Stegostoma tigrinum: one gene and its partners. The protein of the gene in region 1 interacts with the protein of each later gene in a biochemical or structural test. Links are inferred from orthologs where the notes say so. Each region holds a gene or a part of one and is shown in the gene's direction. Other genes may lie near its edges. The genes, in order: cryabb, cs and beta-crystallin A1.

The links.
Region 2: the proteins of cryabb (region 1) and cs form a complex in vitro, tested with the Homo sapiens proteins (3 studies listed by BioGRID). The link is inferred for Stegostoma tigrinum from reciprocal best matches to the Homo sapiens genes CRYAB and CS.
Region 3: the proteins of cryabb (region 1) and beta-crystallin A1 form a complex in vitro, tested with the Homo sapiens proteins (2 studies listed by BioGRID and IntAct, with this or other methods). The link is inferred for Stegostoma tigrinum from reciprocal best matches to the Homo sapiens genes CRYAB and CRYBA1.

What each region holds. Positions count from the first base shown.
Region 1 is NC_081385.1:12,617,397-12,621,150, reverse strand, and holds the start of cryabb (crystallin, alpha B, b), read left to right. Parts: upstream 1-1,042; 5' UTR 1,043-1,257; coding exon 1,258-1,440; intron 1,441-3,754. UniProt on the Homo sapiens protein: May contribute to the transparency and refractive index of the lens. Has chaperone-like activity, preventing aggregation of various proteins under a wide range of stress conditions.
Region 2 is NW_026728211.1:118,241-121,994, reverse strand, and holds the start of cs (citrate synthase, mitochondrial), read left to right. Parts: upstream 1-847; 5' UTR 848-936; intron 937-2,059; 5' UTR 2,060-2,164; coding exon 2,165-2,167; intron 2,168-3,435; coding exon 3,436-3,501; intron 3,502-3,754. UniProt on the Homo sapiens protein: Key enzyme of the Krebs tricarboxylic acid cycle which catalyzes the synthesis of citrate from acetyl coenzyme A and oxaloacetate.
Region 3 is NC_081380.1:29,961,237-29,964,990, forward strand, and holds the start of beta-crystallin A1, read left to right. Parts: upstream 1-1,109; 5' UTR 1,110-1,164; intron 1,165-1,391; 5' UTR 1,392-1,415; coding exon 1,416-1,448; intron 1,449-1,558; coding exon 1,559-1,677; intron 1,678-3,754. UniProt on the Homo sapiens protein: Crystallins are the dominant structural components of the vertebrate eye lens.

The sequences.
Region 1 (3,754 bases):
TCAGTAAGGATTCACAAATAAAATTCCTTCTGTAGGTTACTCGGGTCTGTTTCCGTGGGAAGGACAAAGCGAGAGAAGGAGTTCTCCTGGATGACCATGAGGCAGCTGCATAGAGAGAAGCACCATCCAAGTGTTACTTTCATTCCAAGCCACGTGAAATCACAACGATCTATCACTGGTTTCCAAGTTGAGGCAGACTCGTCGTTGCACTGACCAGCTATGTGCGCAGTGTCAATTCTGTAGAAAACTTTTTAGAAAATAACTTTAAAACCATGCTTCGAATGTCCCAATGAAAATAAATATAACGAAACATTTTTAAAAGTTGGCCATTAAAAGTTATTTTGTGATGGATAATTCTATCTGCAAGTACATAGTCATTTGTACTAATTTTAGTGTAGTGCACATTTTAATATTACAGCTGTTAGCGACTTCGGTCCTTACTAAGGGCAATTATAAGAGTAAGTACTGGAGTAACTTTACATTGCAATTTTGGAAGGACGTATAAGGAATCCAGCATCTTCTGAAATAGCTATTTTGCTCTGGTTAATTTGTTTTTTTTTCAGTATGGAGAAATGAGACAATTATTCTATGAGATAATTATTTCACTTACAGTCTTCCTTACTTTTTAAAGACTCTGGAAGACATAAAACACGGCGAGAGAATGAAATAGTTCTGTCCAGATAATTCTCTGTTAAGCATTCAGTCACTGCCAGAAACTACACATACCCAGAAAGTTGACATCAGAGGCTTATCACTGGGAGTCTATTTCTGAATTGCAATCCTTCTGTTTGCCATCTTCAATGTTTAAATTCAACATTCAGATAAACGATCAGACAGAGACACAAAAGGAAATAAAATCTTTAATCATTCATTTTTTAAAACAAAACCCGAAACAACATAATATTCCTCTCAGTACAATGGTCTCCTATTGAAATGCCATGAGGTCATCTTCTGTGGCATTCTGAAGCAGTGCCAGCAGAGGAAAAGAGTGATCAGCAGAGCTTTATCCAGCAACGCAGAGACTGGTCCACTGCTTGTGTCAGTTCTAATCCTCCCCCCTAAAACATAAATCCCTAAACAATGAAATCACATGACAGAGTCAATCAGCCTTTCATCAGTTTTCCAGAAAGTTCAACACGTTCGGCGTCATTGTGTATATAAAGGACTGAGACACCAACTGGCCTTCAACCAGCCCCTGGACTGAAGACAGCACAACCACACTGATACACATCCTGCTAATTTTAGAGGAAAGTGAAGATGGACATTGCAGTTCAGACTCCATGGCTACGGCGCTCCCTCATGCCAAATTTCCTCTTCCCCTCCCGTATCTATGACCAGCATTTTGGGGAAAACCTCGATCCTGACTTCTTCCCCTTCTACTGGCGAATGCCATCATCATTGTTCAGGATGCCAAGCTGGGTACAATCTGGACTATCAGAGGTATGTTCGGTGCAAAGTATCCTTAAAGTTGTGGCATTTTCCTAAAATATTTGTTTAACATTTGAATTTCACCACTCGAATCAATCTTTGTGGATGTGTTGCCTGCCTCATAACAATAACGAATGTGCCTAATTGTTCTATGTGTGTATATATATAAAATAAAGAGGAAGGTAACAAACACATAGGTCTGTATGATGAAGTGGAAGATAAATAAACATGTTTATCTATATGATAGAGTGGAAGAAAATAAACATATATGTATCTCTATATGATAATGAGGAAAGGGGGGACATAATATCAGAATAAGGGGACAGCCATTTCAAACTGAGCTCTGAAGAACTTTCTTTGCTAAGAGGTTTGTGGACCTTTGGAAATTTCCATCTGAGAAGGCTATGGATGAGTAGTTGTAGACTATATTCAAGACCAAGTTGATGGAATGAAAGGACATGATAGGATGGGTGTTTGTGAATGGGGGGATGGGGCCTTTTAGGAAAGTGAAGATAACCTTGAGGATCTCTGGAGGCTGGAAATGTTGACTGGACTTGTCCCGCACCTATTTCTTAAGCTCTTACATTGAATCTGTATACACATAAATATATAACTAATTAATACACTTAATTAGTGCAATTAATGGTAAATAATAAGTTTTTTTGACAAATAAATCCGAAGCTGGAACAGTAAGCTCTGTTACCATCTGCAAATTGAAATAAAGGAAAGTTAATGGAATATTGATTTTTCCCTGTAACCTCAAGGCACGTTATGAGGACCAAAGGCTTAGGCTTAATTTTCTGTATCTGAACACATTAATTCCCCAGAAAGCAAGAGTAAGAAAATCTCTGATTGCTGGTAACCTGAAAAGAACCAAAGGAAATGCTACAAATAAATATGATTCACTGGTACATGATAAGTCTTCCAAAGTAACATATAGGACTAAGGTGAGGGGTTCTTGTGCACAAAGGTAATATCCCTACACCAGGGCTCACGTCCTATCCATTCTGAGGGTATATCATCATACATCAGTACAGCTTCATTGAAAATAATTTAGTATCTTGTGGCAGTTTGATAGTCTCCTCCCATTGGGTCAGAAAGTCTGGGTTTAAGTCCTACTTGTCATAGAGGTGTATCCTAACATGTTTGAATAAGCTAATTAAAATATAAATATTTATTGATCAAGGTTTGAACTCTGCTTTAGCTAATAAAATATGAATCACTATGTTGCCTTATCCAGTCTTGTATTTGGTCAGCAAAACCCAAAGTAACTACAAAGTACCCCACTTTCTCCATCCTCCAAAAAGAGGATACAAATATTAATAGTAAAAATTAGCTCAAATTTAAATAACTTAAATTAACAAGTTGGTAATTGTTAAAGCAGTCAATGTCCTGTGATGCTGATTGGGCACATACCTGTGATTGAGCTTTGGAACAAAGTGAGATGCTTACTGATACAAATATGTGGATTAGCAGCATGAGTCAGCCACTTGGTTCCTCATGCTGCTCTGCCAGCTAATAAGATCCCGGGTGATCTCATTGCTCCACATTTCCACCTATTCCCTATACCTTCTTATCTCTTTATTTATGATAACCTTACTCATACATTACCAAAAGGATGTGGATGCTTTGGAGAGGGTGCAGAGGAGGTTCACCAGGATGTTGCCTGGTATGGAGGGTGCTAGCTATGAAGAGAGGTTGAGTAATTTAGGATTATTTACATTAGAAAGACAGAGATTGAGGGGGGACCTGACTGAGGTCTACAAAATCATGAGGGGTATAGACAGGGTGGTAGCAAGAAGCTTTTTCCCAGAGTGGGGGACTCAATTACTAGGGGTCATGAGTTCAAAGTGAGAGGAGGAAAGTTTAAGGGAGATATGCGCGGAAAGTTCTTTACACAGAGGGTAGTGGGTGCCTGGAACGTGTTGCTAGCGGAGGTGGTAGACGCAGACATGATTGTGTCTTTTAAGATATATTTGGACAGGTACATGGATGGGCAGGGAGCAAAGGGACACAGACCCTTAGAAAATAGATGACAGGTTAGACAGAGGATCTTGATCGGCGCAGGCTTGGAGGGCCGAAGGGCCTGTTCCTGTGCTGTAATTTTCTTTGTTCTTTGTTCTTATACCGGACTCTTCTACAAACGATATTGTCAATGCCAGTAGCCAGTTGCTTTAAGATTAAATATTACATGTAGGATGTAGGTTTGAGTTTTTTTGGTTTTCTGGTTTATTTCCAAATGCAACAATGAATATTTGGAAACAATTGCAGTCTCACTCAAATAGACCATAAGATTGCTTGTCTTCGAGAAGTATCAAAATTCTAA
Region 2 (3,754 bases), on another chromosome or scaffold:
GTACACAGGGTGGTTAAGAATGTCTTTGGCACACTTTGAATATAGGAGCTGGGGACGTCACGTTGAGGTCGTACAGAGACATTGGTGAGGCCTCTTCTGGAGCATCTGTGTCCAGTTCTGGTCGCCCTGTTACAGGAAGGATATTATTAAACTGGAGAGGGGTTCAGATGTTGCCAGGACTGGGTGGTTTGAGCTCTAGAGAGAGGCTGGACTGAAAAGGACTTTGTCCCCTGCAGTGTAGGAGGTGACCTTGTCGAGGTTTATAAAATCGTGAGGGGCAGAGGTAAAGTGAACAACAAAGGTCTTTTACCCAGGGTAATGGAGTTCAAACCAAGGGGCATATTTTTAAGTGAGAGGAGAAAGATTTAAAAGGGACCTGTGGGGCAACTTTTTCACACTGAAGAGTTGGACATATGTGGAATGAACTGCCAGAGGAAGCCGTAGATGCAGGTACAGTTGCAACATTCCAAAGATATTCGGACAGGTACGTGAATAGAGGGACATGGGCCAAATGCAGGCAAGTGGGACCAGTTTAGTTTGGGAAACTTGGTCGGCATGGACAAGTTGGGCTGTAGGCTCTGTTTCTGTGTGAGTCAATGACTCCATCACTGTACAGGCAACTGCAAATTGGTGAGAGACACTCAGATAGACACTTGCTCACGTAGATACATGCTCCAACTTGTGCTTCAGCTCACTTCGATTGGGACTTGGTGTTCCTTCCCTGGGATGGTTTACCAATCTTTGGAGCTTGCCACAACCCGAAGGAGTTTAGTTCAAGCACCCTACTTGTGTGAACTTGCTTTCCATGTTGACGTCAATACTGAATGAATTTAAGCAAAGGCTCATCTGTCTCTGTCTCTCTCTCTCTCTCTCTCTTTTGTTTTACAGAACACTGCATGTGTCGTATTTGCTGCACGGAATACAAGTACCAAAACGGTGAGTGGTCAACATCTTCTGCAGCGACCCTCCGTCTGGGCCCGTTTCCAAGCGGGGAGGTGGGGGCCTGCCCAGATTGCCCGAAGTTTAGAACATAGAACATAGAACAGTACAGCACAGAACAGGCCCTTCAGCCCACAATGTTGTGCCGACCATTGATCCTCATGTATGCACCCTCAAATTTCTGTGACCATATACACGTCCAGCAGTCTCTTAAATGACCCCAATGACCTTGCTTCCACAACTGCTGCTGGCAACGCATTCCATGCTCTCACAACTCTCTGCGTAAAGAACCTGCCTCTGACATCCCCTCTATACTTTCCACCAACCAGCTTAAAACTATGACCCCTCGTGCTAGCCATTTCTGCCCTGGGAAATAGTCTCTGGCTATCAACTCTATCTATGCCTCTCATTATCTTGTATACCTCAATTAGGTCCCCTCTCCTCCTCCTTTTCTCCAATGAAAAGAGACCGAGCTCAGTCAACCTCTCTTCATAAGATAAGCCCTCCAGTCCAGGCAGCATCCTGGTAAACCTCCTCTGAGGTTTGTGCTCTTCAGCTGCCAGCTCAACCACCTCATGGGCCGAAGTAACCTGTCATTGTCCCACTATCACTCCCACCCCCATTCCTCTTTATTCCTTCTGTCCTCCGCTGCCCCCTCTCTCTGTCGCCCCACATCCACACCTCCCCTCTTTTTCTTTTTCTGTTCCCAACTGCTCATTCCCCTCCACCCCAACACACACACACACACATCCACACCACCCTGTCTTTTTGCACATCATTCCTTCTGTTTCATACTGCTAATGCCCAACCGCACTGCTTCCTTGCTCCCTTCCTCCCTCCTCTGCCTTCCTACCCGCTCCCTCCTCCCACCTGCTCCGCCCCCTGTTATATTCTCCCCCTCTCGAAATGAGCGCTAACCTCCGCCCTCCCTGTATGTTGGGGCCTGAGTTGAGGAGCAGGTGACATCTCATGGTATGACCTGGGTGGCCGTGGAGCTGCCTTGCTGCTTGCTCGAGGGCGCAGTTTCACCAAGACTGTCCACATCGCTTTCCCCTCCACCGACCACGCGCACACCCCGCGTTGTGCAATACGTCTAACGGATGCTTTTGCTCTCCTGTAGAATTTGAAGGAAATTCTTGCAGAGATCATCCCCAAGGAGCAGTCAAGGATCCGAGCTTTCAAAAAGCAGTATGGCAAGACAGTTATCGGGCAAATCAATGTTGACATGGTATGGATTTGTGTGCTCCGTTTCCTGTTTGTGAGTAACGGGGATAGGGGTCAGGCCCGGGGCTGAGGTGGAGCAATCGTTTGGTAGGCAGAGGCTGAGCTATCGTTTCCCACGCCCATTCCCTTTCTGTTTCCCTGAGAGAGCGGGTGTTCTCGGCATCTTCAAAGCCTGACGCTGCGTCTCTCAGGTTGTCAGGACTATAGCTGGGGGGGTGCTTTGGTAGTGTGTCTGTGTTGGTGTCGGGGGGGTGGGGTATGGATTTGAGACTTGCCTCGGCCTCTAACCAAAGGGTCTTTCCCCAAGAGCATTCTGGGGCACATGCGTCACGTCGCTTTGGAAAATCTATCCCCTGAGCTCCTGCTCCACGTTTAAAGGGCAGCGTGTTATTAATATTGACTGAGATGAGGAAAAGTTTATTCAGTCAGAGTTGTGATCCTGTGGAATTCATTCCCACAGAAAGCTGTGGCGGCCAGTTTGTAAGGTATATGCAAGAGGGAGCTGGGTGTGGCCCTGAGGCTAAAGGGATTGCGGGATATGGAGAGGAAACAGGAAAGGGATGCTGATGCTGTGTGGTCAGTCATGATCACATTGAATGGTGGTACAGGCTCCTACACCTGTCTCATGTTTCTAATATTCTCAACATTATTTATGCTGTCTAAATTAATTATTTCACTTAACAACATCTTTTCTACAATGATTATTGAGCTGAAGTGGGTTCAGAAGAGCATGTTGCTGGGACTGAAAGGTTGGATTTATAAGCAGAGGCTGGAGCATTGCTGGTTAATGGCTGACATATGAAATCACAAGCGGCATAGATAAGGTGAATGGGGTGGATGAGTTCAAAACCACGGGCATGTTTTGAAGGTGAGGGGAGAAGATTTTAAAAAAGACAGGTTTCGTGTGTGAATGAACTTCCAGAGGATGTGGGTGCAGTTATGATATTGAAAAAATGCTTGGATAAAAATAAGAAATGTTTAGAAGGTGATGGACCAAGAACAGGCAGGCAGGTGGAACTGGTTCAGTTTGGGATTACGGTTGGCGCGGGTCTATTTCTGTGCCGTAAGACTCTAATATGTGTCATTGTGAGATCTGTTTTCTGATTACCTGCCCCCATCTTGTCATTTTAATCAGCCCTGCCGTCTAATGTGCCAGCGTGTGGGTGGGTGCCCATCTCGCTCGTGCGCTCCCTGGTTTGTGAATTGTACCTGCTTACCGATGTTTTCTATTTTAAATGTGTGTGTGTTAATTAACCCCCCCCATCTCCCCAGGTATATGGTGGCATGCGAGGAATGAAGGGGTTGGTGTATGAAACATCGGTGCTGGACCCAGAGGAGGTACGAAGCTGATGCTGGTAAAGGTTCTCTGCACGCTGGCTACTCCATTACCACGTACTAAGGGTGATGCCAACCAGTACCAGCCCGTTATTGAGCTGTCACTCACCCTTTAGGAGGGGTGGCTATGGTCAGGCTTGCTTTTGGGGTGTGTGTGTGTGTTACTGATGGGTGTACACAGGCCTGGTTTCCTTTATTCGCTCATGGGATGCAGGTATCACTGGCTGGGCCGACTTTTATTGCCCTTTTCTTTTGA
Region 3 (3,754 bases), on another chromosome or scaffold:
GAATCCAAGGTAACAAAGTGTGGAGCTGGATGAATGCAGCAGGCCAAGCAGCATCTCAGGAGCACAAAAGCTGACGTTTCGGGCCTCGACCCTTGCTCTCTGATGAAGGGTCTAGGCCCGAAACGTCATCTTTTGTGCTCCTGAGATGCTGCTTGGCCTGCTGTGTTCATCCAGCTTCACAGGAAGATGAAGACAGTTCAGACAGCAACCTCCTGATTTCCGTATTTAACTGCATGTGAAACTGCTGGAAATTGCTCTCCAGTTTAGTAACAGGGAATGTTGATAGTCTCACTACAATATTTACCACAAAATTTAGCCCATTACTGTCTACTTTAATTGAAACTTTGTGTTTGAAGTATTGAAACTGCTGATAGCATTTTGATAGCTGATCAATGCTTATAAAAATTGCAGTATTTAAATTTTAAAAACCCTGATAACTCGGTGATTGAGAAGTTGAACATCCAAATTTTACACCTTTTATAACTCTTAATTACCTGGGATTTTAAACAAATGACTAGCGTGAGTTGCTTGTCTATACTCTCAGAACATATTGGCCAAGGATAAGACTCTATGCATGTGAATATTCTAAGTATATATAATTGTATCTAGGAACTGCCTTAGCTATTCAATTAAAATCCAAGCACCTAATTATTTAAGTGGTACATCTTTTTAAAGTATATAACCCATGGGATAACAGTCAAAAGCTAAGCCATATTTGTTAGTTATGCATCTGACCTCCATTTTACCAGCAACAGTAACTCATTAATAGATTTTCCAACAAATATTAGCGATAATTAGCTAGCCTCCCATGGTATGATTTCAAAGTCAGTGCTCAAATCAACCCCGTTGTGTTCTGAGTAATTTTCTGTTAACAAAATATATTTAACATTTTTAAATACATTTTTATCTAAAAGTTATTCATGCATTATTCAGATATGCAGATTTTAATCTTTCTGCTCCTGCCCCAGCCCCAGCATAGGGTTGAAACTGAAATCCATGGGATCAGCCACAAACAATGAGATGTTGGCATTCATATCTGCTGCTCACTGGACCACAAATCTGACTCGCTCACTTCTCACTTTCTATTCAATGTTTGACTATAAATAGGAGCGATGAAACTCAACTCAATCATTTTTGGAACCTACCCCAAACAGTTCGGCTCTGGTAAGTTGGGTTTTTCTTGTTTTTATTTTATTTTAACTTCAAATTCCTTTGTTTTGTCTCAATTTGTTTATCCCTGCTTTGTAATTTACTCTACAGCATCAATTTAGCCAGATATAGTAGAACATTACACCAGAATTAGCCAGGATTTTATTGCATCAAATATTGATACCTTTCTCCAAGCCATTGCCTTGTGAAGAAAAATAATGCCATTTGACTTTTTCTTTCAGGACAAGAAACACCAAGCTATAAGCATGGCGCAAATAAACCCTGCAGGAGTTTTCAAGGTGCAGTTTTTGTTCTTAAATATTTAGTCAGAATTGAAACATTAGCTTTTGCTTAAAGCTCCTTTTCACAGAATTTCATGAAATGAGTAACAGTAATCATCTTATTGCAGATTACTGCTTATGATCAAGAAAATTTCCAAGGCAAGAGGATGGAATTCACTGCATCCTGCAAGAATATAATGGACTGTGGATTTGACAATATTCGATCCATCAAAGTTGATTGTGGAGCGTGAGTCAACGGCCTTTACATATTTTTGCAACAAAATAACACAGCCCTAACCGTTACTGTCAAACACATTCTCAAGCAATTTTATCAGTCTTACTTGAAATGGAATCATGGAGATTTTAAAATTCATTGTGATTTGCAAATCATAATCATCAGTTTACGGAAATGTATTTTGTTTTTACCTTTACACACATATTTACATAGCAGTGTTATTGTTGTTCACTTTCTGAAGAGAATTTGGTGAATTTAGACACTGATACTATGGAGAATTAGATTGCTTCATGTATTACTGATCTAAAATTAGTATCAATTAACTGAGGGTTCAATTACATCTCTATTTTTGTTCTGAAGTAGTTTTCACATAACAGCAACATTGTAAATCTAGGGGTGGGGGCAGAGTGGAAGTAACAGGTCCTTGAGCTGGTGTTCATGCTATTTTGCAATGATCAGGTTACAATATAGCCTCAGTCAGTCTTATTGTGGGGTACTCATGAATGTCAGGGATCCCAAAATTCAATTTTTCCCTTAACTTTTATTTATTTTCCGTACTAATCTTTCCAAACTACTTTATGTAACACACATATGCATGAATGGGTGTATATCTCATCATGGTATGTGCATGTCATAAGGTCTAAAGCTGACTTTCCTTCTGCAAAGGAAACATAAATGAGCTCTGTTAAATAAAACGAAGAACTGTGGATGCTGGACATCTGAAACAAACAAAAATAGAAACAGCTGGAGAAGCTCAGCAGGTCTGGTGGTATCTGTGGAGACAAAACAGAGATAAACATTTTAACTCAAGATTAAGGGTCACTGCTAGACCTGCTGAGTTTTTCCAGCAATTTCTGTTTTCGTTTGTTAAAGAGTTGAGTGATTTAATGCTGGCCTATCACGTAATCTATTCTCAGGACAGTATAGCCTAGAATTTTATCCTTAGGTACAAGTTAGAACGTACACCTGTAAAATTGTACACGTGTGTCCATTTTGTCAATGTCAGGTTATCTCCAACCATTCTTCCAATCTCATTAGAATATGTCCAAACTTAAAATGGACATAAAACATTGAAACAATTGGGTCCCAAGGCAATGTAAATCCACACCAGGATATTTGAATTAATTGAATTATCAGTTAAGCACTTTGAAGTTAATAGGTTCAGAAGTTCCAGTTGGAGAAGTTGTGCAATTTTTAATGTGATTTATACTCTGCCAAAAGTATGCATTAATCCATAAAATATGTATTAGCGCTCAGTGTGGTTCTTCTTTTCTCATGATTATTCAAAAATTATAATTAAAAGACCAGAAAAATAACTTTAGAGCCACATTTTCAGCAAGACAGAAACAATGTTGAGATTTCCTCCCATTTTCAAATAGGTGCAACCAGAGGATACTTTGAGAATCTGGCATGTAGCCAGTTTGATGGATGGATATCTGTTGAATTGCACAATGTGGTGGATGGAAGTAAACGATCAAGAAAACCGAGGCGTATTGTATTTATAGTTGATATAATTACTGACACACATCAATGGGCCGGACTCAGCTGTACTGCTTCAGGGCTCAGTTGGGTAATGTTTTCAGACTGGGCTAGTATGACTCTCAAGATAATAAAATGTGAGGCTGGATGAATACAGCAGGCCAAGCAGCATCTCAGGAGCACAAAAGCTGACGTTTCGGGCCTAGACCCTTCATCAGAGAGGGGGGTGGGGAGAGGGAACTGGAATAAATAGGGAGAGAGGGGGAGGCGGACCGAAGATGGAGAGTAAAGAAGATAGGTGGAGAGAGTATAGGTGGGGAGGTAGGGAGGGGATAGGTCAGTCCAGGGAAGACGGACAGGTCAAGGAGGTGGGATGAGGTTAGTAGGTCGCTGTGGGTGCGGCTTGGGGGGGGAGGAAGGGATGGGTGAGAGGAAGAACCAGTTAGGGAGGCAGAGACAGGTTGGACTGGTTTTGGGATGCAGTGGGTGGGGGGGAAGAGCTGGGCTGGTTGTGTGGTGCAGTGGGGGGAGGAGACGAACTGGGCTGGTTTAGGGATGCAGTAGGGGAAGGGGAGATTTTGAAACTGGTGAAGTCCACATTGATACCATT